Elephas maximus indicus: one gene and its partners. The protein of the gene in region 2 purifies or fractionates together with the protein of the main gene of each other region. This does not show direct contact. Links are inferred from orthologs where the notes say so. Each region holds a gene or a part of one and is shown on either strand. Other genes may lie near its edges.

What was found.
Region 1: the proteins of SNRPA (region 2) and SF3A1 fractionate together in Homo sapiens (co-fractionation; 3 studies listed by BioGRID and IntAct, with this or other methods). This does not show direct contact. The link is inferred for Elephas maximus indicus from reciprocal best matches to the Homo sapiens genes SNRPA and SF3A1.
Region 3: the proteins of SNRPA (region 2) and SNRPD3 purify together in Homo sapiens (affinity purification with mass spectrometry; 3 studies listed by BioGRID and IntAct, with this or other methods). This does not show direct contact. The link is inferred for Elephas maximus indicus from reciprocal best matches to the Homo sapiens genes SNRPA and SNRPD3.
Region 4: the proteins of SNRPA (region 2) and SNRNP70 purify together in Homo sapiens (affinity purification with mass spectrometry; 4 studies listed by BioGRID and IntAct, counting the BioPlex papers as one, with this or other methods). This does not show direct contact. The link is inferred for Elephas maximus indicus from reciprocal best matches to the Homo sapiens genes SNRPA and SNRNP70.

What each region holds. Positions count from the first base shown.
Region 1 is NC_064840.1:26,017,028-26,024,812, reverse strand, and holds the start of SF3A1 (splicing factor 3A subunit 1), read right to left. Parts: upstream 3,005-7,785; 5' UTR 2,984-3,004; coding exon 2,921-2,983; intron 1-2,920. Other genes in the region: CCDC157 (coiled-coil domain-containing protein 157), read left to right, coding at 3,285-3,330. UniProt on the Homo sapiens protein: Component of the 17S U2 SnRNP complex of the spliceosome, a large ribonucleoprotein complex that removes introns from transcribed pre-mRNAs.
Region 2 is NC_064829.1:110,909,080-110,916,340, reverse strand, and holds the start of SNRPA (U1 small nuclear ribonucleoprotein A), read left to right. Parts: upstream 1-4,246; 5' UTR 4,247-4,355; intron 4,356-4,787; 5' UTR 4,788-4,809; coding exon 4,810-4,882; intron 4,883-7,261. Other genes in the region: ACTMAP (UPF0692 protein C19orf54 homolog), read right to left, coding at 199-323, 827-895, 2,931-3,241. UniProt on the Homo sapiens protein: Component of the spliceosomal U1 snRNP, which is essential for recognition of the pre-mRNA 5' splice-site and the subsequent assembly of the spliceosome. U1 snRNP is the first snRNP to interact with pre-mRNA.
Region 3 is NC_064840.1:23,012,586-23,019,586, forward strand, and holds the start of SNRPD3 (small nuclear ribonucleoprotein Sm D3), read right to left. Parts: upstream 3,003-7,001; 5' UTR 2,876-3,002; intron 1,356-2,875; 5' UTR 1,338-1,355; coding exon 1,212-1,337; intron 1-1,211. Other genes in the region: protein GUCD1, read left to right, coding at 3,120-3,330. UniProt on the Homo sapiens protein: Plays a role in pre-mRNA splicing as a core component of the spliceosomal U1, U2, U4 and U5 small nuclear ribonucleoproteins (snRNPs), the building blocks of the spliceosome.
Region 4 is NC_064829.1:99,440,933-99,448,293, reverse strand, and holds the start of SNRNP70 (U1 small nuclear ribonucleoprotein 70 kDa), read right to left. Parts: upstream 3,021-7,361; 5' UTR 2,808-3,020; intron 2,063-2,807; 5' UTR 2,053-2,062; coding exon 1,906-2,052; intron 1-1,905. UniProt on the Homo sapiens protein: Component of the spliceosomal U1 snRNP, which is essential for recognition of the pre-mRNA 5' splice-site and the subsequent assembly of the spliceosome. SNRNP70 binds to the loop I region of U1-snRNA.

The DNA of each region.
Region 1 (7,785 bases), on a different chromosome or scaffold from region 2:
AAGGATTCCATGAGCAAAATACTGAATGATGCAGGAAGATGAAAGGAATACACAGAGTCACTGTACCAAAAAGATTTAGTCAACACTCAACCATGTCAGGAGAGAGCATATGATCAAGAACCGATGGTACTGAAGGAAAAAGTCCAAGCTGCACTGAAGACATTGGTGAAAGACAAGGCTTCAGGAATTGGCGGAATATCCATTGAGATGTTTCAACAAAGGAATGTACACTGGATATGCTCGCTCATCTATGCCAAGAAATTTGAAAGAAGCTACCTGGCCAACCGACTGGAAGAGATCCATATTGGCCCATACCAAAGAAAGGTGATCCAACACAATGCAGAAATTGTCAAACAATATCATTAATATTCCACGAAAGTAAAATTTTGCTGAAGATTACCAAAAAATGGTTGCGGCAGTACGTCAACAGGAAACCGCCAGAAACTCAAGCCAGAATCAGAAGAGGACATGGAGCAAGGGATATCACTGCTGATGTCAAATGGGTCTTGCTGAAAGCAGAGAATACTAGAAAGATGTTTACCTGTGTTTTATTGACCATGTAAAGGCATTTGACTGTGTGGATCATAACAATTATAGACATTTCGAAGAACAGAAATTTCAAACACTTAATTGTGCTCATGTGGAACCTACACATAGACCAAGAAGCAGTTATTTGAGCAGAACAAGGGGATACTAAGTGGTTTAAAGTCAGGAAAGGTGTACATCAGGGTTGTATCACTTCACCATACTTGCTCAATCTGTATACTGAGCAAATAATCCATGAAGCTGGACTATATAAAGGTGGGAGCATCATGACTGGAAAAAGACTCATTAACAACCTACCATATGCAGATGACACAACGTTGCTTGCTTAAAGTGAAAAAGACTTGAAGCACTTACTGATGAAGACCAAAGTCTATAACCTCCAGTATGGATTGCACCTCAACATACAAAAACAAAAATCCTCAGAACTGGACCAATAAACAATATCATGATAAACACAAAATACTGAAGTTGTCAAGGATTTCATTTTACTTGGATCCACAATCAACGTCCATGGAAGCAGCAATCAAGAAATCAAACAACACATTGCATTGCGCAAATCTGCTGCAAAAGACCTCTTTAAAGTGTTCAAAAGCAAAGATGTCACTTTGAGGACTAAGATGTGCCTAGCCCAAGGCAACCCATGGTATTTTCAATCAACTCATATGCCCGCAAAAGCTGGACAATGAATAAAGAAGACCAAAAAAGAATTGATGCCTTTGAATTACGGTGTTGGCAAACAATATTGAATATACCATGGACCATCAGAAGAACAAACAAATCCATCTTCGAAAAAGTACAGCCAGAATGTTCCTTAGATGCAAGGATGGCAAAACTTCGTCTCAGTGTTTCAAACTTTGGGCATGTTATCTGGAGGGACCAGTCCCTGGAGAAGGACATCATGCTTGGTAAAGTAGAGGATCAGCCAAAAAGAGACAGACCCTCAATGGGATGGACTGAAACAGTGGCTGCAACAATGGGCTCAAACATAGCAACAATTGTGAGGATGACACAAGACCTGGCAGTATTTTGTGCTACTGTACATGAAGTCACTATGCGTTGAAACAGACTCAACAGCACCTAACAGCACCATGGTAGAAGAACAGTCCGTCACTATCCTGCTTTTCTTTTTTGTCTGTCTACAAAAAGTTCAAATCCTCAGAATTATACTGCCTGCCACCACCCTCCCAACCCTATACTTCAACCACAACTATCTATTTAACCTTGACCAGGGCATCATCGGCTGCCTACTTTGGTGCCTTTGCACTTATTATCTTATCTGATGTTACTTTATTTTTCCCCAGTGCCTGGTTATGTTCCCTGTTGTATTCTGAACCCAAGGCAGTAGATACTAAGTGCTCGATAAATGGATAAAAGCTGAATTAAGAATACTATCTCCCTTCTCCAAACTCCTACTCATCCTTCTAAAAACAATGTATCTTTCACCCCTTGGGCTTCACCTTACTTAACCCCCCCTCTACCCCATCAAAGCAGCGTGGGTTAAATTACCATTTTTGTCCCTGTTACATACTCCTATTGCAGGGCATAGACCACCATGCTGCAATTACCCATGGGCATTCTCCCCCTTAGCTGATTAAGAGCTTTTCAAGTGGTGGTGAACTGGGTAATTTATGGTGACAAAGACAATAAATATTTGTTGAGTTTTCATGTATATGTCTCTCTCATTAGTCTGTGAACTCCCTAAAGCAGGAGCTGGGCCTCATTCAGAGCCTGGCACACTATCTTGTAGATGCTGACAATTAACATCTAAAAGTGGGAAGTACAGACTGGAAAATTAGGGATTACTGGGCATAAGGCTTGGAAATCCTGGTGGCGTAGTGGGTAAGTGCTACGGCTGCTAACCAAAAGGTTGGCGGTTCAAACCCACCAGGCGTCCCTTGGAAACTATGGGGCAGTTCTACTCTGTCCTACAGGGTGGCTATGAGTCGGAATCGACTCGACGGCAACGGTTTGGTTTTTTGGTTTGGGCATGAGGCTGGCAGGGAAGAGGGGACGGGGGGGGGGTGGGCTGCTGATCAGTGCTTCTCAAGATTTTATGTGCATATGAATCACCTTGGGTGCACGTTAAAACGTAGGTTCCTATTCACACGGGTTGGAATCAGATATTCCCGGAATTCTTATAAGCTCGCAGGTGATGCTCATGCTGCTGGTACGCGGACCACACTTTTAAGAACCACTGTTGCAACATTCTCTTGGTTACCAAAGAGCAGCGCGGCACGGGAAGCGCGCTGCCTCCTGGGACTTGTAGTCCCTCCAAAACGGCCGCTTCTTCCTGCACGCGTGAGGAACACCCGCGCCGGGGGGGAGGGCCCAGGCCTAGGCTGGGGCTACCGGTCGAGGTACGGGGGTGCGGTACCTGTTTGGGCTCGGTGGCCACGGGCGGCGGCGGAGGCACCGCCTGCACGGGTCCAGCCGGCATGACTGCGACGCTCAGGGCTGCCAGTCCGCCTTGGTTTCGGTCAGCAGTGCTGCGCCAAGACACCTTCCCTCACGGACGGTACGACGAGTTCACAAGATGGCGGCGGAGACAGCCGAGCGAGTAATCTTCAACCAGGCGAGCCTGACGCACTTCCGGGACCGCCCCTCGGCGTGGCGTGGCTTCCCCTCCCTCCCCCGCTGGTACTGGTTTCACGCGACGCCGTTGCCATGGCAGCGGTTCGGGCGCCTTACCTGGGGTTTCCGGGGATCCAGGGAGCCGCAGGCGTGCCAGGGCCAGATACATGAGCCGGCCAGATTCAGGGGCTGAGGCCACGAAGCTGAAGACAGGTGAGATGTCCTACATCTCCCCGCCAGCCGCTCCCCGCACACACCGTGCCTCCCTGGCCCCTCATTTACTCCACGCCTGTTTCCCGCTCACTTAGACCCGCCTCCCAAGGCCCCTCAGACCGCCTCCTCAAAACTTCGCCTCCCTGCTGCCTTAACCCTTCTTATTCGCTTTAGACCGGCATCCTCCAACCCCCTCAACCCCCTTTAAAGTCACAGACCCTAACTCTCTCTGGTCTCTTTCTCGCGGCCCGCCTTTTTTAGGTTCCACTCCCTTCTCTCCATGCCCTCCTCTCTCCATAGGCCCGCCCTCAAACCCCACTGGTGAGTCCCTGCTGACCACGCCCTTCGCTCCCTCGAATCCTGTCCCTTTCGCTTCCCCTCCCGAAGCCCCCTCAACCCTGGCTCCTTTCCCCTCAACCCTGGCTCCTTTCCCCTCCCTCCTGGCTCCAGAATGCGGGGAAGGGGTTCTGAGCAGTGCCTGAACCTGTTTTCTCACCTGTGAAATAAGGGTGATAGATGGTCTCCATCATACACACACTATAGCTGGGTTGTGTCATTGTTGTTATAATTAATCGAGAATACAAACGACAGCTAGGATTTACTGAGCATTCACCATGAGCTGGACCCTGTGCCCAACACTTTATGTACATTCTATCATTTATCCTTTTTAGCAACCGATTTATAGATGAGGACAGTGGAGTTCAGAGTTAGCACAATGGGAATCCAAACCCAGGCCAGACTTTCTCCTCTACAAGTGCAATTTGTTATTCCTGTCTTCACTGGTCCCCTCAGTGTCTCCAAGGATCCAGGCAAGGTTCCTTCAGTGTCTCCAGGGATCCAGGCAATTAGCATTCCCCGAGTTAGAGACTGACAGCTGGTTTTAGCGATTCCAAAGTGTTTGCACGGTGGTGACCTTGATTCTGACCAAGGTAGGCGTAATCTTTACCAATGACGTAGGGTACTAGAACTCAGAGAGGGAAATGGGGCTTCAATATTGAATGGAAGGGGAGGCAAAAGCTTGCATTGAGGTCATGGAAGCTCCATAGACACATCCAAACTCCCTGAGGGACCCAGCTGCTGCTGGGCTGAGGACTGTGGGGACTGTGGCCTCAGGAACATCTAGCTCAATTGGCATAACACAGTTCATAAGGAAAATGTTCTACATTCTACTTTGGTGAGTAGCGTCTGGGGCATTAAAAGCCTGTAAGTGGTCATCTAAGATTGGTCTCACCCCTTCGGGAGCGAGGGAGAATGAAGAAAGCTAAAGATACAAAGGAAAGATAAGTCCAGAGGACTTAATGGACCACATTTACCACTACCTCACCAGACCCCACAACCATCACTGACTGCTCTCACAGGGATCACAATAGAGGGTCCTGAAAAGAGCTGGAGAAAAATGTAGGAAAAAATTCTGACTCAAAAAAGACCAGACTTACTGGCCTGACAGAGACTGGAGAAACCCTGAGAGTATGGCCCCCAGATACCCTTTTAGCTCAGTAATGAAGTCACTCCCAAGGTTCATCCTTCAGCCAAAGATTAGAAAGGCCTATAAAACAAAACAAGACCAAAGGGGCACACCAGCCCAGGGGCAAGGACTGGAAGGCAGGAGGGGACAAAAAAAGCTGGTAATAGGGAACTCAGGGTCCGGACAGGAGAGTGTCATGGGGTTGTTAACCAATGTCATAAAACAATATGTGTACTGTTTAATGAGAAACTAATTGGCTCAGTAAACCTTCATCTAAAGTACAATTAAAAAAAAAAAAAAAGCTTGCCTTGAGCCAGGGGGAGCTGAGGAGACACAAGTTAGCTGCTGCTCCTACCTATTGGCAGTGCTGGCTTAATTGGTGACTATCACTTTTGTGGCCATAGGTACAGTGGATGGTGCAGGGCTGCAGCTCCAGGCTGAGGAATTACAGAGAAAATCCTTATCAAGTCTGCTTTACTTGACATGATTCTCAAACCATGCGTATATTTGCATATCCCCAATTTTCAGAAAAACAATATAAAGTAATTTTAGGTGTTTTTCAATGTTATGTTTTCCTATTGTATATTCTCGTTGCTTTGCCAGAATCTAAGGGGCATTGATACCTAAGATGCCCCCAAATAGCAGCTATAGTGATTTGAAGGTGGACAGATTGGTGTTTCATTGTGTCTTCAAGAAGCAAGCCCATGAGTTCCAGGCACTTTGCCACCTGCATATATCTCTGCCCAAGTTGGGGCTTCTTGCTTCTTTCATTTGTCTCCTTCCCCACCCCCCACCATTATGGGAGGGAAACCCAGAATGTTTCAGTCTGTTTTTTTCCATTGGTGTTTTCCTCACTCCTTAGGGACATAAAATCTCTTGAGCAGCAAAATCTCATGACAGGTCAGTGCCTGTGAGGGATGTGGCCCATTCTAGAACAGTGCATGCATATGCCTGCCAAGCGGCAGACGCACATGGCCTTCCCAACCGTGTAGGTGAAGCCCATGGAGCTCACAGACCCAAGGCTGACCCACAAAAGAGACCCTCAGACATGGATGGTGGGTCCTTGAGGACATGGCTCTATGTACCCTCCTCAGTCCCCAGTTCTTCACGTGGTGCCCGGTGTGTAGTAGGTTCTCAGTCCACAGTTGTTAAATGAAGAGACAGTGTCGGATCCTCCACACCTGCACATTCCAATACTGTGGCCACCAGCCCATGTGACTGTCAAGCATTTAAATTGGTGGCTGGTCCAAGTTGAGATGTTCTATATCAAATACACACTGGCTTTTCAGGCTTAATAAAACAAGAAATGAAGAATATCTCCTTAATAACTTTATATTGATTTCATGTTGAAATGAGAGTATTTTGGATTGTTGTTGTTATTGTTGTTAGGTGCTGTTGAATTGGCCTGAACATAGTGACACTGTGTACAACAGAACAAAACACTGCCTGGTCCAGCGCCATCCTCACCAGCGAAGCTAAGGTTCAGCCCGTTGTTGCAGCCACTGTATCAGCCCATCACATTGAGGGTTTTCCCCTTTTCCACTGACCCTCCACTTTACCAAGCACAACGTCCTTCTCCAGGGACTGATCCCTCCAGATAGCATGTCCAAAGTATGTAAGAAGTCTTGCCATCCTCACTTCTAAGGAGCATTCTGGCTGTACTTCTTCCAAGACGGATTTGTTCGTTCTTCTGGCAGTTCATGGTATATTCAATATTCTTCACAAATACCATTAATCAAAGGTGTCAATTCTTCGGTCTTCCTTATTCATTGTCCAGCTTTCACATGTATATGAGGTGATTGAAAGTACCATGGCTTGCATCAGGCACACCGTAGTCCTCAAATTGACGTCTTTGCTTTTGCACACTTGTCTTTTGCAGCAGATTGGCCCAATGTAATAAGTTGTTTGGTTTCTTGAGTGCTGCTTCCATGGGCATTGATTGTGGATCCAAGTAAAATGGAATTCTTGACAACTTCAGTATTTTCTCTGTTTGTTATGATGTTGTTTATTGGTCCAGTTGTGAGGATTTTAGTTTTCTTTATGTTGAGATGTCATCCGAACTGAAAGCTGTAGTCTTTGATCTTCATCAGTAAGGACTTCAAGTCCTCTTCCCTTTTCAGCAAGCAAGTTGTGTCATTTGCATATTGCAGGTTGTTAATACGTCTTCGACTAGTCCCGATGCCACGGTTTTCTTCATGTAGTCCAGCTTCTCAGATTATTTGCTAGGCATGCAGTTCGAATAAGTATGGTGAAAGGATACAACCCTGATGCACACCTTTCTTGATTTTAAACCATTCAGTATCCCTTTGTTCTGTTTGAATGACTCTCTCTTGTTCAATGTACATGTTCTGCATGAGCACAATTAAGTGTTCTGGAATTCCCATCCTTCACGATGTTATCCATAATTTGTTATGATCCACTCAGTCGAATGCCTTGCATAGTCAATAAAACACAGGTAAATATCTTTCTGGTATTCTCTGCTTTCAGCCAGGATCTATCTAACATCAACAATGCTATCCCTTGTTCCACATTGTCATGGATTGAATTGTGTCCTCCCAAAATATGTGTTAACTCAGTTATGCCATGATTCCCAGTATTGTGTGATTGTCCACCATTTTGTCATCTGATGTGCTTTTTCTGTGTGTTGTAAATCCCGTCTCTATAGATATTAATAAGATGGGATAATCTTAATTATGTTGATGAGGCAGGACCCAATCTATAAGGTTAGATTTTGTCTTAAATAACTCTCTTTTGAGATATAAAAGAGAAAAGCGAGCAGAGAGACATGGGGACCGTATACCACCAAGAAACAAGAGCCAGGAGAATAGCGCATCCTTTGGACCTGGGGTCCCTGCGCTGAGAAGCTTCTGGTCCAAGGGAAAATTAATGACAAGGACCTTCCTCCAGAGCCGACAGAGAATGCTTTGCTCTGGAGCTGGTACCCCGAATTTGGACTTCCAGCCTCCTAGGCTGTGAGAGGATAAATTTCT
Region 2 (7,261 bases):
TGATCAGCTTGCCCCAGGCCACACAGCATGGAGGTAGCAGAGCTGGGTTGGGAACCTAGTGTCCACCTCATGACCACTCCCCCCGACTGTGCGACAAGGGCTGAGGGATGGCATGAGAGCCTGTCCCGCACCTGGTAGTGCTACCCCTGGCCTCTCCGAGTGAAGACCCAGCTGCAGACCCTCCTGCTCCCAGCTCACCAGAGAACATCTCCCCCTGGGCGGTGTAGCCTCTCTCCAGTGCCACCTGCATCAGTCTCTCCAAGGGGACACCGTTGGGGGGTGCCAGGAGAGTGCCTGCCATCCACAAGGCCACTAGCCCGCACCTGGGGAGAGACAGGCAGGGGCCCAGCCCCTCAATCCCTAAGTCACTTTGTTACTGGGCCCCCTCTGCCTAGAAGCTGGAGTGTGGGGATCAGGTTTGCTGCCTTGGGGGAGTTCTCCTCCCCTCTCCCAGGCCAGATGGGGAGACCTGACTCCCCACCATGGGACAGAGAATGGCCAAGGCCTGAGCCTAGGGCTGGAGAGATGAAGGGGTGGGCAGGGAGAAACGTCACATGGGTTTCCTGGAATACAAGGTGCCAGTATGGGGTTAGAGAGGATGGACCAGGTTCGTCTTTTCACCCGTCAGTTTCTTCATTTGCTCACTCATTCATTCCAAATCTCTATTCGCTATGGACACACCCGAGACCGTGTCCTGGCAGGTCCCCCCTTCCCTCCCCAGGTCGCTGGGGCCTTGTCCCAGCCTCCCTCTGGGTAAGCCCAGCACAGGCAGAGGCTCAGAGTACAGGGTGGACAAGGGGGTGGGGTCCTGGGTCAGAGAACTTACTGAGGGCCTTCTTGGATGAGGGACGGCAGATCAGCACAGAAGAGGATCCACTGCAGGTCACTTCTGAAACTGAATCAGAGCCACACTCGGGTCAGGCAGGATCAGCTCCGAGGGGCCCCTCAAGGTCCAGGTGGGGGCAGAGCATACAAAGATACAAGGACACAGGAAGGAAACACAGGCCAGGCCATTCTAAGGCCCCAGGGTGGCTCCTGGCTGCATCACTGACTTCCTTCTCCCCCATGAGGCCCTTGCCCTGTCTGAGCCTGTTCCCCCCTCTGGCCAGCGGGAATCATCCTTCCCCCTGCGTGCTCTCTGCTCCTTCTCAGTTACTGAGGAGGCAAAGAGCAGATATGCAAAAGCCATGCAACTAGAAGCCAGGGACACAGATTAGAGAAAATTCCTCAAAGACATGCCGCTACAGCTAAACCCTGTTTTAAAAAAAACCCAAACCTGTTGCCACTGAGTCAATGCTGACTCATAACGACCCTATAGAACAGCGCAAAACTGTCTCCATAGGGTTTCCAAGGAACGGTTGGTAGATTTGAACTGGCAACCTTTTGGTTCGCAGTCAAACGTTTAAACTGTTAAATAAGGTGAAAATCCTTTAACGTGGGTGAAATTAAATGGTCACCTAAATCCCGAAAAATTTAGGCTGATGGCCTAAAATAATAAGTCCTTACGTGTCTGACCAGCCCCCCCTTTCCTCCCCCTGGGGAGGCCTGGGGAAAAGTTCTGGTGATCCCAACCTCCTCCTTTCCCTCCAGGGCTCAGGAGAGGGCAGAGCCCCAGAGTCTTCATTTCCATCTCAGAGTCAGTAAGAGAGAGAGGCTGAAGGGGAACCCAGGGCTCCTGACCAAAAAAGAGATGATGTTACAACACAGTGGTTTAAAGTGCGAAGCCAACCTAAAAACCAAAAATCCGTTGCTGTCGAGTCAATTCCGGCTCATAGCAACCCTACAGGACAGAACTACCCCATGTGGTTTCCAAGGAGTGCTTGGTGGATTCGAACTGCCGACCCTTTGGTTAGCAGCCTTAGCTCTTAACTGCTATACTACCAGGGTTTCCAAAGCCACCCTGCCCAGGTTCAATTTGGGCCCTTTCTCTTAATTCTACAGCTCGGTGATTTCATCTCTGTGAGCCTGTTTTCTCATCTGGAAAACAACACAATAATAGCTTCTACCTCATTAGATTGCTAAAAGAATTAGATAGTTCAATACTTAAAAACCATTAGAGAAAGGTGCCTGACACAATAACGAGCTCATTTTATTTGTGTTTAATTAACCTCATCATGGTTGGGGCATTTAAGACAAATTATAAACTAAGAAGAGCTTGAAAGTTCTTCTGAGTCTGGACAAGTCAGTTCCCCTGATTCCTGTCAGCCAGGCAATCATTCAACTGGGTCCTCTTCACCTCCTTCCCCTGCCCACCACCTCAACCCTGGTCTGGTCCCCTCCTCTCCAGTCTGGTCCTCCAGCTTCCTCCCTGGGCTCTGACTCTAGTCTTACCACCTACCATCTACGTGTCACAGGTAGCCTCATCCAGCGTAAGTAGTTCCTCCTATGGCTCCCCAGAGCCCTCAGGGCAAAGTCCAGCCCCCTTACCATGGCCCACCCTGCTACCTCATGTGTGATCTGGCTCCTGTCCCCCTTTGCCACCTCCCTGTCTCAGTGAGGAAATGCTTGCAATTTCTTTAAAACAGCATGCTCCCCTTTAACTCTGGGCCTCTGCATGAGCCGTTTGCTCTTCATCATGCACCCCTTGCAAGACTTGCTCAATAGCACTCAAGGTTCCCCTTCTCCAGGAAGCCCCCTCTGTCCCCAGGCTGGGTCAGGTGCCCCATTTGGGCTCCCCCATCACAGCCCTGACCACTCTGGGCTGTCACTGTTTGGTGTGGGTAGTCTGCCTCCTCCACTGGACTAGGCACTTGTGATGGCAGGACCTTTCTTCATTGATGGAGCCATACCACCACCGGAGGGCTCAGTAGGGGACTGGTCCGACCAGGCTGTTTGACCTTGAGGACAAACAGGAAACCCCAAGAAGAGGATAAAATGATCTGGGACAGGTAGTTGGTAAGATGACTGGGTGGGTGAAGAGGAGACCCTACCGGTCCTTGTGCAGCTTCAAAAGCCTCTTCACATCCTCTCTGCCGGTGGGGACTGGGCCGGCCTTCTCCAAGGCCTCCTTCAGCAGCTGGCTCTTTTCCATGCCGAAGACGTGAGGGGGAGCAAGCCCCAAAGCAGGAGGTGGAGGCGGCAGTGGGGGTGGTGGGGGAAAAGGGGTCTGGAGACTCGAGGAAATGGGTAGAAAAGTTACATCCGGGGAATTTGGAGGCACGAGAGGTGGAATGGAGGCCTGGGGTGTAGGGGCGCTGGGAGGAAGGACTGGGGGCTCTAGAGATGAGCATGGAGAAGTCATTTCGGAGTACTTGAGAGCAGCTCGGTGGAAATGCGAAGGGGAAGGATCCTTCAAAATGCTGTTTAAGGTTGGCTGCAGAGATGGGGATTACGAAGGTTTTACAGCTGAGTCCTAGAACATGGGAGCAGAACAATGGGAAACGAACAAGGTGGACGCAGGGCTTGTGCAGGCTCAAGTCGAGGATCTGAGAGTTAACAGGGTGGGGTCTTTTAATCTCACATCCGCTAGTATGGGGCTGGGGCGGGTTGGTTTGCGGGACGAGAGGGGAGGAGATTAGGAGTTAACTTGTCCAGGTCAAGACTTGGAAACTCATGAGTTAAATTTCGGGATAACGGGCCTCAATCTTGGGGTGTAGCGCCTAACACGTGGGGTTTAGGAGTCTCGAGCTAAGGACTGGGGTAATTAGACTCTGTTCCCCACCCCCACCCCCAAGCCGAAGTTCGAACCTCTGAGCTGATCTTTGAGCCAGAGGTCAAAAAGGACACTGGGTAGAGAAAACTGCCTACTTGTAGACAGGGTCCTGGAATAACTGAGAAACAAAGTCTGCGAGTTGGGAAAGGCTCTGAGCCTTTCCGGGAGGCCGGAAAGAGCGACGATGCCCGTGGAAAATGAACGGAGTTGGAAAACACCCGCCTCCTCTCCTCGCAAAATGGCGGCTGCCGCACACAGGTTTTCTCACGTCACGTGGTAGAACTCGCAACTTATGCCCGCCCCTTCGGCAATCACGTGGTAGAAAATGGCAGTGCGGGCTGAGAGGTGGGGCTATCAAAGGATCCTCGCCGGAAGAAGCTGCAGAGCGAGCCGCGTCTCGATTGGCAAGGAGCGCGTGAGGGGGCGTAGCCTTCACTGATTGGTCCGTACGCCCCGAGGCATCTGGCGGCCTAGGAAGCACACAGGCTGGGGCGGGGTTTTCTCCCTAGGCGGGAACCCAAGTGTCGTTTTGATTGGCAAGCTATTGGTGAGGGAGGTGAAATTTACTCTGATTGGTCAAACTGCCAAGTTTCCACGCGGAGATTGGCTTGCGGGAAGGCAAAGGCTGGGTCAAGGGAGGAAGCTTTGTGGTCCAACCTCAGGAACTCAGGAGACGCTACTTGTGGGAGCTGCCGTCCGGTCGGTGAGTAATCTCGGTCACAGGCGGTCATCGGCGACGGGCGGGTGGCGCAGATGGAGCTCGGACTCTCCCGCATCTTGTCTGGAGAAACTTTCCCGCTGCATGAGCCCAGGATGCCCCAAATTTGTCTCCCCTTCCTTAACTGGTTTTACATCCGGGTGTTTTCTCCTGGGCCGCCCTTTGGGCGTGTGAGTCAATAGGAATCGCCATGTAGGACGCCCCGCCTACTGGGTCGCGTAGAGCATTCTGGGACTCGTAGTAAACCTCTCGAGGTTTCCCTTAGCACGCGGGGATTAGAAGCGGTTTCTGCCCCCGCCGCGTTGCCCAAACTGACTTTTTCCGGGAAGGAAGATCCGTGAGCAGTCCGTTAAACTAGAGTTGGGGCAAAGGATTTAGAAAAACCCAGGCGTGAAGTTCCCTTTTTCCTTTTCTTAGCCCTACCTCGGCATCTAGCTCCATGGCAGTTCCCGAGACCCGCCCCAACCACACAATTTATATCAACAATCTCAACGAGAAGATCAAGAAGGATGGTGAGTTCTCCAGTGGCCCAAGCGCTGGGCTGTACCGCACGAGTTGGCCCTTCCCATCGCTTCTCTATCTTTGTCTACTCCAGCCTGCCTGTTAGAGCTAACCCTTCGGTCCTCGCACATGCTGCGTCCTCTGACTTTTAACACTCCCTTAGTTGATCCACGCCCTACCCGCTAACTTGGCCACTATTGCTTGTCTTTCACGTCTCAGTTCACAGGACCATTCCTCCCCCAGGTGTCTCCCTCTGACTTATAGGCCCTGGGCATCAAGTCCTGATCACTCTGGGCTGTCATGTCTCCCCACCAACCTGTGAGTTCTGTGAGGGCAGGGACTGGAGCTCTCTAGGTCACTGTCATGTTTTCAGTGACCAGTCCACAATGAAAATACGCAACAGTAACGGAACATTCTGTACCACGTGGTGAGCTATGCACTTTTACATAAATTTCCATTTAACAATCCTGCTGGAAGAAGCTTTTGTTAATCCTGTGTCTCAGATAGAAAATTGACACTCAAGTGTGACTTGACTTGCCCAAGGTCACACAGCAGGGAAAGTAGCTGAGGCCACCAGTTTGGAGTTCTGTTTAAGAACATACTTGACATTGTATAGACTCTTCTATTTTCTCAAGCAAGTTGTCCCCTTTACTGAATCCCACTTTTTTCTTTATCTGAAAACTGGACTAACCCAAAAACCCATTGCCATCAAGCCACTTCAGACTCATAGTGATCCTATAGGACAGAGTAGAACTACCCGATGGAGTTTCCAAGGAGCCGCTGGTGGATTTGAACTGCCAACCTTTTTGGTGAGCAGCGGAGCTGTTAACACTGTGCCACCAGGGCTCTGAAAACTGGGCAAGATCATAATACCATGTTTGCATGGATGTTGTGAGGATTAAATTAGCTAAATCTCCATGCAGTGCTTTTTATGGTACTTGGTAGGAAGAATCAGGTAGGTGTTGGTTGTTATCACAAAGGAGCTGCTGGAATTAAATTTGAGGTTACTGATAAAGTTGCTGTTGGAAAAAAACAAAACAAGGAATGTAGATTCTGCACATGCTTTTAAACTATCACGCCTGGCCATGCTAGGTGGTGAGGTGCTGAGGGCACCATGGGGAGCAAGTCAGCCCTGGCCCTGCCCTGTTGGAGCCACAGTCCAGTGGAGGAGACAGACCCGTCATCTGATTGTGACAAGTCAGAGGATCAGGGCTATGGTGGGGAGAGGCCCAGGTGGAAGAATACAGCCAGGATGAGTAAGGGGAGGGGGTTGGGTATGTAGAAGGACAGAGATTCATTTAGTTTCAAAAAAAAAAAAAAACCCAAATCTGGACATCAAGTCAATTCCGACTCATAGTGACCCTATAGGACAGAGCAGAACTGCCCTGTATGGCTTTCGGGGAGCACCTGGTGGATTCAAACTGCTGACCTTTTGGTTAGCAGCTGTTGTTTTTGACCACTAGCCACCAGGGTTTGGTAGAAGCCCTCCAAAGCTTGAGGAAGCAGCATTTGGTGAGGGAGAAAGGTATTCATGACTTTGACCAGCTATATAACTACCTAGGGACAAAAGAGCCTGGGATGTTCTGGGAACTATAAGTAGTTTTGTGTGGCTGAAGCTTCCCATGAGCAAGGCACTCCTGGCTCTCGGGGCCTTCTGGGCTGAATGAATTGGTGAGCTTATCCTGAAGGCATTGTAGAGCTATGCAAGGGACACAGTCAGTTGTCGGTTGTGAAAAATCCTCACAGCTGGGAAGGGTGAACTGGAGTGGGCAGGAGGGGAGGCTAGAGGCTAGGCAGTGGTCCTGAGTCCAGTGGAATGCCTGGGCCTCAAACTAGGCGCATGAGGACAAAAGGTAAGAGATGAAAACTAGAAATGTCACAAAGAATTTCTGGCTAATTGCTTCAAAACACCCTTGCTCCCATCCCCCCACCCCAAACAGGTACACACACATTTCCTTCACCCATCCTCTAGTATCTGTTGTTAGGTGCCGTCGAGTCGGTTCCGACTCATAGCGACCCTATGCACAACAGAACGAAACACTGCCCGGTCCTGTGCCATCCGTACAGTTGTTGTTATGCTTGAGCTCATTGTCGCAGCCACTGTGTCAATCCACCTCGTTGAGGGTCTTCCTCTTTTCCGCCAACCCCATACTCTATCAAGCATGATGTCCTTCTCCAGGGACTGATCCCTCCTGACAACATGTCCAAACTATGTAAGACGCGGTCTCGCCGTCCTTGCGTCTAAGGAGTATTCTGGCCACACTTTTTCCAAGACAGATTTGTTCATTCTTTTGGCAGTCCACGATATATTCAATATTCTTTGCTAACACCACAATTTGAAGGCGTCAACTCTTCTTCCGTCTTCCTTTGCATTGTCTAGCTTTCCCGTG
Region 3 (7,001 bases), on a different chromosome or scaffold from region 2:
GCAGCACACCAGCTGCCGCACACACAGCTCATCGGGTCCTGACAACAGGCCATGGGCTCAGGCTTATTCTTGTGACAGCCCTGAGATGCTCAGATCTCTCTTTGAGGGAGAACAGGCTGTGAGGAGTGCACGGAGCTGATGGCCTCTGGGTGTCACACCTTTGAGACCCACCACTGCATAAACCCCAAGGCTACTCTCCCCAGACTGCTCCTACGGCAGGGGTACGAGAGCCAGGCCATTTCTGTCCCATGCCAGACTCCTCAAATGAGTCATCTATGCTTGGCTATGAATCATCCTCAGAGCTACAATGTAGCCCCAGGCTCTTCCTACTCGATCCTTTCTTCCCTCTATTCTTTCACCAGTGTTAGGCCTGCACGACAGACTGTGGCTCTCTTGCCCACTCCTGCTTCCTCTCTTTTCTCCTGTCACTTCCTCCAATAAATCTCTTGCATATCTAATTGTACCTTGGTGTCTGTGCCTCAGATGGCCCGAAATAACATCACCCCTGTTTTACAGATGAAGAAACTGAGGTAATTAATATACCTGAGGTTATACAATTAGGATTCAAACCCATATTTCTTTGATTTCAAAGTCCATGCTCTTAACCGGCTGTTTTATACTTCGTAAAATGACTCTAATATCACGATTATGAGAAAAAGGGCAAATTGTGTCATGGGAATTGAACCAGATCAGGAGGCTATGCCATCATATACTAATGGAGTGACATTTAGTAGACGAATCCTATTTTCATAGATGACAAAACTATTACCAAACCTGCCTACCTCACAATAACTGATGCAATAATCAAATGGGACCCCTTCTCCAAGAAGATGGCAAGTAAATACAGCATGTGAGTAGGAGATGCTACTAACTGTAACATGTCATGCCTTAATAATGGCCTTGAACCTGAAAGGAATAGTGTCATTTATCTCAAAAAGCCCCCAAAATATGGGAGAAAATGATTATGGAATGGAGAAAACAAAGGACAAGTAAATATTCCAAATTTCCAAACACCATTTCTGCCTCGAGACAGTAAGTCTCTTGCTCATGTCCACATCCTGAGTACCTGTAAGAGGGCCTGGTACTCATAAGGCACTCAGTAATAACTGTTGAAAGAGACCAACTTCAAGAAGGCGCTCTAGTCACCACAGTTTTGTCCTCCAACACAGGCTCACATTATCCCCTTCAGTCTCATATGCAAAGCAAGGTACCTGGCAGTTCATGTTGTCCTCTGCCTCGATGAGCTTCCCCCGATATACCTCACCGGTGTTCGTCTCACATGTCACAATGTGGCCCTCAGCCTCATGCAGAACCTTAATCGGCACACCAATAGACATCTTGGCAGGAAGAAAACTCTGCAGTGAGAGAGACAACAGTTAGTTCATCTTTCAGAACCAGAACAGGCATATAGCATGCACATGCCTCCTTCAGGGCCTAAAAACCAAAAACACCAAACCCAGTGCCATCGAGTCGATTCCGACTCATAGCGACCCTACAGAACAGAGTAGAACTGCCCCATAGGGTTTCCAAGGAGCGTCTGGCAGGTTCAAACTGCCAACCCTTTGGTTAGCAGCCGTAGCACTTAACCACTACACCACCAGGGTCTGGCACTCCATAAAACTTAGCTGTATTTCCTGAGCTATTGAAAAAGGTGTTTAGCTCCTTTGGAAAAAACTATCTGGCAAACAGTGCAAGATGAGGGGTAGGGTGAAAAGTGGGGCTGGGCAGAAAAGGCTAAGGGGAATGAAGAGAGTGCCTCCCGTCTCCCTCCTCACTACCAGATCGCTTTATCTTCTCCAAATGACCATTAGCCAATATTACAGGAGGGAGGGGAGTGAATGCATGTACTGTACAAACGTACCTGCCAACTCACTGCTGTGGGCGACTGCACTTTGAGAACCTACGATACAGACCCAAGCTGCCCAATACAGTGGCCACAGTCCACATGTAGCTACTTAGAACTTTAAAAAGATGAAATACGACTAAAATTTCAGTTCCTCAGTCACATTAGCAATACTTCAAGTGCTCAAAACGCCACAGGTGCCTAGTGGTTACCACAGTGGACAACGCAGACCAAAAGATCCACCAACAAATTTAGGAGGAAGTTATGCTTTTAAGTCAATCTATTTAGTGTCCCATGGCACCCCATTTACATCACCACTGAAGCTAAAAAGAAAATATCGAAGAGTTCACAAAGTGACATGCTATAAGCAAAAAGGTTTATCTTATAGAAAAAAGCCAACCAGGGCAAGCACCTGACTGGACCTATTAAAAGAAAAAAGCATCAAACATTTTTAATCTGCAATGAACAAAGGCTGAAGACTAGAACAGAAAGGGATTCCAGGAGACTCAACGCTACCCCGGAAAGGGACCATGAAGTTGGAAAAGTTGGTTTCCTTTGGTGAGAATCCCTGAGTTCTAGCTTTAGGGGTTTGGATTTTATGCTGAAGACAGAGAGAACCACTGCAGAATCATGCGAAGAAATGACCCAATGAACACGTAGCAGCATTTAAAACTTCTGCAACAGCGTGGAAAGCAGGAGATGATCCGAAGTGAAAAAACCTTGAAAAGGAAGCTCCAAACAAGATTTGGGGTAAAGGAGGTAATCACTCAGAAACGATTCCAGTATTATTTTCTGGATACTGAAAAAAAAAAACAATGACATGGAGAGGTGTACAAAAAGGATAAATATGTAGTTTTGGAAGGAGCCAATAAACCCACTTCCAGGCGCGAGTGAGGTGACGCTACTGCCCCGGGCTTCTCCCTCTCCTCCCTCCCAGGGGCCCGCAGAACTTCAAGGCAGCGCGTCCTTCCCCAGCCCCGGCCCCTCACGGGAGCCTCGGCCTCCCGTCACCCGTCCCCGGCCTCTCCTCACCGGCTGCGGCCTCCTCTTCCACTTCTTCCGTGGACAAGCGACTTCAGCAGCACCGAAAGCGTGAGCGAGCGAATGGCGGTCCCGCGCTCCCAGAAGACCCCGCGTTCCCAGAATGCCGCGCGCGAGGCCAGCCCCCTTCCTTTCTCCGGTGGTGGGCGCTGTCTCGCCTCGGCTGCCTCCTCACCCAACCGGATGGGAAACGCGGGCTGTGGCACTATAGTTCCGGCCCCGAAAAAGCGTGCTGATGACAGGGCCTGGGTGCCGCCGGAAACACCGATACTCGGGCCGGCAAGGGGAAAGGGGAGCTCGCGCTTCCAGGCACCCCACACCAAGGCCGAGTTGGACGGCAAGGCGGAGATGCGGGGCCTGGGCTCTCGGATCGGGGGCGGCAGGCTGTGGGACTAAGCGCCAGGACCTGCCCTCGCAAGTTAGCCGTTGGAACCCGGCACCGCCCGGTAAGGAGCGCCCCGAGCGAGGCGAGGTATCCATTATATGGACAGGGAAACTGAGGTATAGAGTAGTCGGAGTAGGGTTGGGTCTCCTGGAGACCCGGCGGAACAAGGGGCAGGCCAGGGATTATACCTGAGGGAGGCCCACAGGGGCGGAGCCTGACTTAAGGGAGAGCGCCAGCCTTCGGGGCGGGGCTCCAAGAAAGGGGTGGGGCTTCCGGGGATCCGCGGGGACGGGCCTGTGCGTCGGCGCAAGGGCTAGGGAAAGGGGCGGGGTCAAGAGAAGGCGAGACAGCGAATGGCCGGGGCAGGCTTCGATCAGGCGGCTGGGGAACGGAAGGGACTGGGCCTCCAAGCCGGGGCCCAGGTGGGGGCGGGGCGTCCGGGGCCGCTGCCAGGCAGGGCTGGGGCGGGGCTCGGGGCCGCGGACCGTCGCCTTCTGTCCCCTCCGCGGACCAGACGCGCCGCCGCCGCGCTCCCGCCCCAGCCCGAGCGGTAGCCTGCGCCAGGTCGGGGCCATGGGCGCCCCGCGCCGCCCGGGTCATGAGGACGGAGGCGGAGGCAGCGGGACCGCCGCTCGAACCCGGTCAGTGCCTCCCCAGGGCCTAACCCTGGCCCCGGGGGACGAGGGTCCGGCCGCGCGACCTTGGGCGGACTGCCGCCTGGGCAGCGCTCTGGAGTTCGGACGGGACGGGGCCAGCTGGACACCCCGCCCCAGCCCCACTTGCCAGTCGGGGTTTCATTGTCCTCCCGGAGCTGAGGCCCCTGTCGCCCGGCCGTGGGGCGGGGTGGGGCCGGTCCCGGCTGTGAGGCGGGGCGCCACCTTGCCTAGAAGCGGGAAGTCCAGCCGGAGACGCGTGGAAGATGTGTCCCCTCGGGGAACTGTGGAGGACGCTGAGGCTCAGAGAAGGGCAGGGGACTGGGCGGGAGCACAGAGCGAGTGCGCCCCTTCTCTTCCCCTTCTCAGACTGTGGTCAGCTCTTTTCTTGCTACATGTCTTCACCCTTGGTTCCTTCTGCCCTAAGGGGGCCTTTTGGGGAAGCAGAGGCCACTACTGGTGGGGCAGTGCCGCGGCCTGAGTTTGCTTGTCTGAGAAGGGGATAGTGGGGGAGTGCGGTGGTTCCTGCTCTGCTGAGAAGAGGTGCCAACTCAGGGAGAGGCCAAAGCATATGGGACTGGCCCTGAGCTGTCATGGATGGTGTCCTCACACGAGGGAGGGGTCGCCTTTGTTATTGCAGGGTGGAGCAGGGGTCTGATGCTGCCGCAGAGTGTAGGCCCTGCTCTCCAGTTAGCTCAGCTACGCTCTTGGGCAGGACATTGCCTTTCCTGAGCCTGAGCGAGTCCCGGCTCATATTTATAGGGGGTTTCCTATGAGGTGGGAACTGTGCTGAGTGGTGTATGTGCAGTACCTCGTTAATCCTCATGATGACCTCATGAAGGAGGCTACTGCTGCTGTTATTCCCAGTTTTACAGATGAGCAGACTGAGGCTGAGAGGTGGTGAGCACCCAGGGCCACTGAGCGCCCTCCCTTCTCTGATGACAGCTGCCAGCTGATGCCAGGGCCCTCCAAGCAGGCCCAGCTCTTGGGGTGTTCCTTGGTGCCATGTATTAACATCTGGTAGTGGCTGTGGGCTTGAAGGGCTGAAGCTGTTATCAGGACAAAAACCAAGGTCTTGCCTGCCCTTATCATCCTTCCACCCACCACACGCAGAAAATCACCTCCAGCTTTCTATAGAGTGGCCTGCCTGGGCCAAGGCTGGGGACAGCCACCTGGGGTTTTGGCCCTTTGGGGCCTCAGGATCAAGGGTTCTGGAGCTCAGGGCATGAGGAGGAGGGGTAGCTAAGACTCCCAGGGCCCTAGAGAATGCTGCCAAGCATGGCCACAGGGGAGGTCTGGCCACAGATGGCCTAGCTGGTGTGGCCAGAGCTGGTGCCAACCAAAGTAGGGAGGCAGCCTTAAGCAGAGGGCAGTGGTCTGGAAGCCTGGGGGCAGGAAATCATTGCAGTGACAAGCAGCCCCAGGCATCTCAGGAAAATGCCTTCTCTTCCCCAAGTATGGAGAACCCTGGTGGTGTAGTGGTTAAGTGCTACGGCTCCTAACCAACAGGTCAGCAGTTCGAATCTGCCAGGTGCTCCTTGGAAACTGTATGGGGCAGTTCTACTCTGTTCTATAGGGTCGCTATGAGTCAGAATTGACTCGATGACAGTGGGTTTGGTTTGGTTTTGGTTTTCCCCAAGTATGTCTGAACACCTGTTCGGGGCAGAGGTTCCCTGCCTGCCACTGAGGTGTTCTCAGGCTGTTGGCTGGCGAAGGTGGGTGTGACCTCAGGTACTCTACACTGAGGCCTGGAGGGGATCGGAATCAGAGTATCCAGATGTTCAAAGATGGGAGGAACGGTGCAGACTAAGGCACCCTTGAGTGCAAAGGCTAGGCATAAACAGCCTGTGCAGAGAAAAACAGGTGGTGTGTGGCCACAGCGAGGGGTGCTTGAGAAGGGAGGCACCTTCCTTCCTCCATGATTGTACAGCACCCTATATAGAGCTTGCACCCTCCCCTCAGCCCATGTGGGGCATACTTATTTTAGAATATGAGTCTTCAGAGGCAGGGCTTAGTCTTAATCACCCGTGTGTCCCCAGAGCCTGACACACAGCGAGTGCTTAATAAGTTCATTTCTTCCAACAGATATTGAGTTACTCCTAAGCATCAGGTACTGTTACTGTCGTTAATGGCAACCCCATGTGTCACAGAGTAGAACCACTCCATAGAATTTTCGTGGCTGTAATCTACACCAGGGAACCCTGGTGGTGTAGTGGTTAAGTGCTACGGCTGCTGACTAAAATGTTGGCAGTTCGAATCCACCAGGTGCTCCTTGGAAACTCTATGGGGCAGTTCTTACTCTGTCCTACAGAGTTGCTATGAGTCGGAATCAACTCAACGGCAGTGGGCTTGGTTTTGGATTTTTAATCTTCACCGAAGCAGATTGCCAGGTCTTTCTTCTACAGTACTGCTGGGTGGGTTCAAACCACCAACTTTTCTGCTAGCAGGATAGCACAAACCATTTCCGCCACCCAGGGATCTTAAGCATCGGATGCCAGGTACTGGGAATAACAGTGAACAAGATGAGGTGAGGTATTTTCCCTCAGCAACCATACAGTCTAGTGGGGAGACAGATAATAGTTTTTTTTTTTTTTTTAGTTTCGTTTGATAAGTACCATGTGAAACAAAGAGGATGCTATGAAGGAGGGTCCCCCCTTTGCCCTCAAAAGGTATAGTCAGGAAAAGCTGCTCAGAGGAGACTTTGAACTGGGACCTGATGACAAGCAGTAGCAGCCTTGAGAACAGCCGGGGGAAGAGAGTTCTAGGCTAGGGCACCCTGCATGTGCAAAGACCCTGGGCAGGATGAAGCTTGATGGGTTCACAGAGTAACTGCAGCAGGGTGAATGAGGCTGGTGGGGCCTGGGTGGGCAGGGCCACAGGAAGAGGAGAGGACTCTAAGAGCATTGGGAAACTGCATGGGATTCCCCAGGCAGCTGTGTGTGGAGACAGAGTTGGGGCTGGGGGAGGAATTTGGGGTGAAGGACAGGCAGGAATCAGGCAGGACTAAATCCGTGGAAGGAGAAGGAGGCAAGCATGTGAGAACCTCAGGCAGAGGCCTGGGCTCCTTTCAAAGGCACCT
Region 4 (7,361 bases), about 11 Mb from region 2:
GAGGTGACAGGGTGGGAGCAACTGGGGAAAACAGCAAGAGGCACCTACCAAGAAAACGAGGATCTCAATCTCGCTCCACCTACGTAAACAAACATGAACAGTTCACATATGCCACAGTGGAGGCGGGGAGTGGCACAGAGCCACACATGGTCCTAAGGCTCGCTGTCGGTGACAAGGGAAAAACAAAAACCAGGCGGATGGATTAAGAAACTTCTACAGCAACCCAGCAGGGCAGTTTTATGAGGGTCAAACCTAATCACAAAAATATGGTTGTGAATTTTGTACACGTGTCCTTGATAAATACGTAAATCACTAAATAAGGATAATAAAAAATTCGGAAATGGATAGTTGTGATGCTTGTACAACACGGTGCATATAATTAATGTCGCCAAATTACACGTGTCAGAAGAGTTGGGAGAGCAAATATTTTATTACATATATATTTCATACAATAAATTACCAGAAAAATGAAACTAAATCTAACATATTTACCAGAAGTATCAATCAGCAATAGATTGAAAATCCTAAAAAAAAAAATGTGTCCTTCACCACGAAAGACAGTTTGAGCAGCACTGGTACAGAAACATCTAACCAAAGAACAGATTATCAAAGGCTCTAATCTTCCCTTTTTAGAGAATGACCTGCTTCTCACAATCCCCAAATACCGTTCTGTAGTGAGCAGAGGGCCACAGAACACCCTGTGGGCTGATGGGAAGGCCCTTCCTCATGAGAGCAGGGGAACTGGGGCCAGGCCTCAAACAAAAGGAGCAGACCATGCAGTGCTCAGAAACAGATAATTCAAATCATCTGGGGGGGGGTCTCACCAACCACTCATTAAATAGGAACAAGCACACAACTCCCATCAGCAAAGGGTGCCACAGGCTTGCACCCATTCAATTAGTTTAATTGGCTAGTTACATTTCCAAAGTACTGTTCACTGAGGGTAGCGAAGTTCACTGAGGGTGGCAAATAGTACTAAAGACTTAACCGTCTACTCTTTCCTTGCTGCTAACCTCTGCTCTGCAACTCCTGCCACCCCTCCCCTACAGGGAGAAGAATCCACTGCCCAACCACCTGATGCCACAAGTTTTCTCTAGGACTTCTGGTTGTGTGCCAGCATTTCTCAAGTGCACTTGATGGACCTCAGGAGGTGGGTGCTGTTATCTCAATTTTACAAATGAAAAACCTGAGAGCCAGAAACTTATGCTTTCATGGTTACCCTGCAAAGGCACAGCTGAAATCCCGAGCCTATGGCTTTGAGTACTCTAGTACACCGTGAAGACCCTATTTGAACATCACCTTATCAATAATTAAAAACGATAAATATGATAGCATGGTCTTTCACTGATGGGTGCCAAAATCTGTCACATAAATCTTGATGTTTAAATCCGCATCAATCTCATGAGAACATACTACCTTAGTAAAGATGAAGAGATCAAGCCATTAAAAGGATATACCACTTGCTGAAAGTCACACAGTTGATGTCAAGTTCTACCTGACTCTAGGACGTGAATCCTAATCTGCTACTTGCTAAATTCTCAGAATAATCCTCTTTAGAAGCCAGCAAATAAATTTTCGACTCACAGCTACCCTGTGTGACAGAGAGCTGCCCCATAGGGTTTCCTAGACTGTAATCTCTAGGAAGGCAGATTGCCAGGTCTTTCTCTCACAGAACTGCTGCGAGGATTGGAACCATCAACCTTTCAGATAGCAGCTGAGCACTTAACCGTTACACCACCAGGGTTCCTTTAGAAAAACCCTACAACAGATACATTATCAATCCCATTTAAAACAGAGAAACTAAGAGTCAAAGAATAAATCACCTGCCTAAATCATGCAACAAGAAAACAGCCCAAGATTGGACTCCAAAACCCAACCCGCTCTTCGTCCACTCAGTGCACTCACCTCAAATTCTCGGATGTAGGGCGCAATGCCACAGTAAGGTTGATTATGGTGTTTTTCATGTGGCAGTTTCTCCAGGGGTGGCAGGTATGGGATGGGGTCCCGGGGGGCAAACAGGGCCAGAAGGTTGGGCGGAAGGAACTGGGTCATCTTGCCAAGTCTGAAGGCAAAACCAGAACCAATTAGGGTAGGCTGGCTAGGATGAATCCCCTAAAACCCCCTGACTCTCAAGAAAGAGAGAAACAGGAGCGAGCTCTCAATGTTAAAACAGGCTCTGTAAGGGCAGAGTGACCCTATGTCACACGCAAAAGGGATAAACCTAAAAGAGAAAGCAAAGTCTTGAAGGTTTAGGGGGAAGAAAGGCCTACGAGGAAAACAAAGACTATAAAGCGTTTCTGAGTACAGAAGACTGAGTCGTGAGCAAAGAACTGTGGGGCTGAAAGGGTCCCTGGGGGGTTGGGGAGACAATCAAGGATCCTGAGTCCCAGAGCCGTGCTCCTGGAGGTCCCACGTAAGATGGGGAACGCTTTATGGGGCGAGGGTCGAAGTCACCGATGAAGGGGTCAGAGGATCTTAAATAGCTAACCCCTCAAGACAAAGGCTTGGGGGTAATAGGTCTAAGCCCCCCAACCCAAAAGGGGAAAGGAATTGTGGGTAATGGTCCGAGACGCCGCGAAGAGACAAGAAAAAAGGCAATACACCGCAAGGGCCTGTGGGTACTGGACCGCGGGGGGCTGTGGGACGAGGGCCTGAGTGCTCAAGGCACCCTGGGTAAGGGTCGCAGATAAGAATATTGCTGTGGTGGGTGCGCGGGGAGAGGGCCCGGCCGCGAGGAGAGGGGCCGGGGCCCAACGCAGGGGCTTGTGGGTAGCGATCCCGTTCCCGGTGAGGCCAGTCACACTCACCAGCCGCGCGGCGCCCTCCTCGGCCTGGCGTTGGTCCGGGGGCTCGCGGCGGCCCCTCAGCAACAGAGACTCCTGCTGTAGCTTAGACTTCGGCGGCGTCGGCGTCCGTGTGCTTCTCTGGCGGGCCCAGCGCGCGCACCAGGCCGCTGCTCACAAACCCGCGCGGCCTCAGCTCGCGACGGGAATAGGGGGTGGGACCCGCGCAGATCCCTCCGCCGGCCTCACTGCGCACGCGCCTTACGACGGGCGAACAACGCACACATGGCACGGGTTCCGCCGCGGGCAAGGCGCCTGCGCGGGGTGACTGCCCCGCCTTCGAGCGCCTTAAATTCCTTTTGCCGCTACCGCCTGGTATCCGCACTGCGCACGCGCTTTGCACCTGCCACCACCCCCTCGGGCTCGCCACTCCAACCGCCTCTGTCCGCGAGATTCTGCCCCTGATACTTCGCCCCCTCCCCCTAGCACACTTCCCGGGTTTGCGCGCGTGCGTAGTGAGATGTGCTGCCTGTACCCCTGCGCCGACTGGCAAAGAGTCCCTTCGTTGATAGTGGTTAGGTGGATGGGTAATGTCGAGTACTTAGTGCGTGCTGGAAACAATAGCATGTGACTAAAGCAGTCTTTTCCCTCGTGGATCTTACGTTCTACTGGGGAAGACAATAAAGTGATTTAAATTAATTATAATTTCAGGTAGTGGTTGGCACAATGAAGAAAATGGAGCAGAGTAAGGGGATGGGAAGAGTAAGAACGAGACTGTTTTCAAAAAGATGATAATGGAAGCCCTCTAGGAAGAGATATTTGAACAAAGGCCCCGATTGAACAGTGGTCTGGGCGGGGTTAACAGTCAGTGCGAAGGCCCTGGGGAAACCCTGGGTAGGGCAACCAGTTAACACACTCAGCTGCTAACCTAAAGGTTGGCTGTTCAAATTCACCCAGAGAAGCCTCAGAGAAAAGCCTTGTTGATCTGTTTCTAAAAGATATGCCGTTGAAAACCCCATGGAGCACCGTCGTACTCTGACACACATGCGGTCTCCATGAGTGAGAATCTACTCTAAGGCATCTGGTGTTCTGGTGGAAAAGGCCCTGAGTTGAGACCAGATGTCAGGAACCACATGTTAGGCAGGAAGTCATGTTATTTTAGGGCCTTTTAGACTTGTAATGAGTTAAGTATGGTTTTCTAAGCTTTTTGGGTGGATTCAATTGCCTGTTTAATAATTACAGAAATTATGACATTTTAACTATTAATTTCATATTTCAGGAAACATGTAATAGCACATAACTTTAAAAAATATTTTCACAAATTTGCTTTATTTTTGTGCATGACTACTTTTTTTCCATAACGATTTGTAAGTTAATTGTAGCAGCACCATCCCTAAATATTTCCGCATGCACCTCCTAAGGAAAAGAGCATTCTACATAACCACTAAGTCCTTTACACCCTCAAGAAAGCTTATCCAGCCCCTATTCTAATTTCCCCAAGAATACCTTGTTTTCATCCCAACCAGGATCCAATTAAGAGGCATACATTGTATTTGGTTGTCATGTCTCTTTGATCCCTTTTAATACAGACACATTTTTTTCATGATGTAACTTTTTGTGTGTGTGTGAGCTCAGACCATTTTCCTGTACAATGTTTCACATTCTATACTTCTTTGATTGTTTCCTCATGGCGTTCACTTTGTTCCACTATCCCTGTTTTGCCTGTACAATGGAAATTAAGCATGGAAAAATTCAGGGATGGTTGAGCATGATGAGTATGTTGAATGTCACTGAACTGTACATGTGAAGACTGTTGAAATGGCAAATGCTTTGTTACCTATGTATTTACCACCATCGCAACAAAAAAAATGGAAATTAAGTCTGAAGGCTTGAGTAGATTTAAGCTAAACATTTTGGCAAAAACACATCCCTGGTGGGCTTCACATCTGTAGGAACATAAATTTGGATGGGCTTACTATTCCATGGAGTTTGGTGTACTGGCTGCCAGGTCTTTCCTCCTAAAGCTGGATTTCTCCCCTGGAGACTAGCAAGTAGCAAGACTTCCACACCATGCCAATATTCTCTTCCCCAACCTCACCTAATGATTGTAGCAGCTATTGCTAATCCTTGCCTGAGTCAAGTCTTACATCAGGGGCCAGATCTTATTTTAAATGAGATAGGAGATAGCTAAAGGAGTTTGATCAGGGGAAAGGAGCCCTGGTGGTGCAGTAGTTAAACGCTCAGCTGCTAAGTAAAACGTCAGCGGTTCAAACTCAGCTAGTGGCACTGAGGGAGAGAAGACAAGGCAATCTGCTCCCATAAAGATTACAGCCTAGAAAACCCTATAGTGCAGTTCTACTCTGTGCTATAGGGTCGCTATGAGTCGCAATTCACTCGATGGCACACAACAACAATGATCAGTAAGAACATAGTTTACATTTATAAAAGATCACTTAATTACCTCCACTAGGATGGCTACAATGGAAAAAGCAGAAAACAAGTGTTGTCGAGGATGTGGAGAAATTAGAACCTTTATTCACTGTTGGTGGGGTTGTAACATGATGCAGCTGCTGTGGAAAACAATTTGGCACCATCAAGTAAATTTTGACTCATGGTGGCCCCATGTTGGTCACAGTAGAGCTACACTCCATAGGGTTTTCATGACTGTGATCTTTTGGAAACGGACTGTCAGATCTTTCTTCTGAGGCACCTCTAAACCAAAAACCAAACCAGTTGCTGTCGAGTTGATTCTGCCTCATAGCGACCCTACAGGGCGGAGTAGAACTGCCCCATATAGTTTCCAAGGAGTGCCTGGTGGATTCAAACCACTGAACTTTTTGGTTAGCAGCCGTAGCTCTTAAGCACTATGCTACCAGGGTTTCTGAGGCACCCCTAGGTGGGTTCAAACTGGCAGCCTTTAGGTTAGTAGTCAAATACTTAGCCATCTGAACACAACGAAAAGTTTGGAGGTTCAAGTTTGCTCAGAGGCACCTCAGAAGAAAGGCCTGGTTATGTGATCTATCGGAAATCAGCCATTGAGAACCCTATGGAGCAAAGTTCTACTCTGTCACGTATAGGGTCACCATGAGTCAGAGTCAATGTGACAGCAAGTGGTTTTTGTGGGATGTAAGCAGGGGAAAGAGGGAAGGGAGGACACGGTAGGGGAAGAAGTCAGAGACATGTTAGGGTTAATAGGGTCAACTGACTGTTAGTGCTGGTAGCCTTGAAAATGTTTTTAACTTGGTTGACCGGAAAAAGAAGAAAACGCATGAAGAGAATCCAGGGGGAGACCCTGACGAGAATACAGGGCACAGGACGTGCACGTTCAACGGAATGATAAAAATAATGATTGTGGAAAACCCCAAGAGTATGGCCCTGGACACCCTTTTAGCTCAGTACTGAAGTCACTCCTGAGGTTCAGCCTTCGGCCAAAAATTAGACAGGCCCATAAAACAAAATGAAAGTAAATGGGCACACCAGCCCATGGGCAAGGATGAGAAGGCAGGAGTGAACAGGAAAGCTGGTAACGGGGAACCCAAAGTCAAGAAGGAGAGAGTGTTGACGTGTCGTGGGGTTGGCAACCAATGTGCAGATTGTTTAATGAGGAACTAGTTTGCTCTGTAAACCTTCATCTAAAGTTCAATAAAAAATAAAAGCAAAAAGAACGATTATGGAAGGGATGCAGTTAGGGGTATTCATGAGGACTAGGGTATGACCATGACAGTGGGTGGCAGAATTAGGGGATGATGAGTGACAGATGAGGACTGCAGGGTTTCTTTGGGGATAGTAAAAATGTTCTAAAATTGATTGTGGTGATGGATGCACAACTTAGAGAATACGTTATTGTTGTTCCTTGCCATCAAGTCGGCCCCCAAATCACAGCGACCCCATGCACAATAGTCCTGCACCAGCCCCATAATCAGTTGCAGATCAGGCCATTGTGACCCATAGGGTTTTCACTGGCTGATTTTCAGAAGTAGATCGCCATTCTTAGTTCATCTGAGTCCAGAAGCTCCACTGCAGCTGTTTAGCATCATTTCAACGCACAAACCTCCACTGACAAGCGGAAGGTACATTGGCTGAGAGTTGGACCCGGATCTCCCACATTAAAGGTGAGAATTCTACCTTTGAACCACCATTTGTGTTTTTGTTGCATCCCACTGAGTTGAGTACAACTCATACTGACCCTATATGGTAGAGTAGAACTGACCTAGGGTTTCCCAGGCTGTAATTTTTAGGAGAGCAGATTGCCAGGTCTTTTCTCATGTGGAGCAGCTGGTGGGTTCAAACTGCCAACGTTTCAGTTAGCAGCTCAATACTTAGCCATTGTGCCACCAGGGCTCCTTGAACCAACACTGCCCCCTGTTAATATATTAAAAGCTATTGAATCGCACGCTTAAAACCAGTGAACTGTATGTGACTTATATATCACAATAAAGCAGTTATTTTAAATCAATGTCATTGAATTGTACATGTAGAAATTGTTGAATTGGCTTATGTTCTGCTTGTATATTCTCAACAACAAAATTAATTATTTTAAAAAGTGGGTGGCTGAGGTAGAGTGGAGGGCAAGACTGC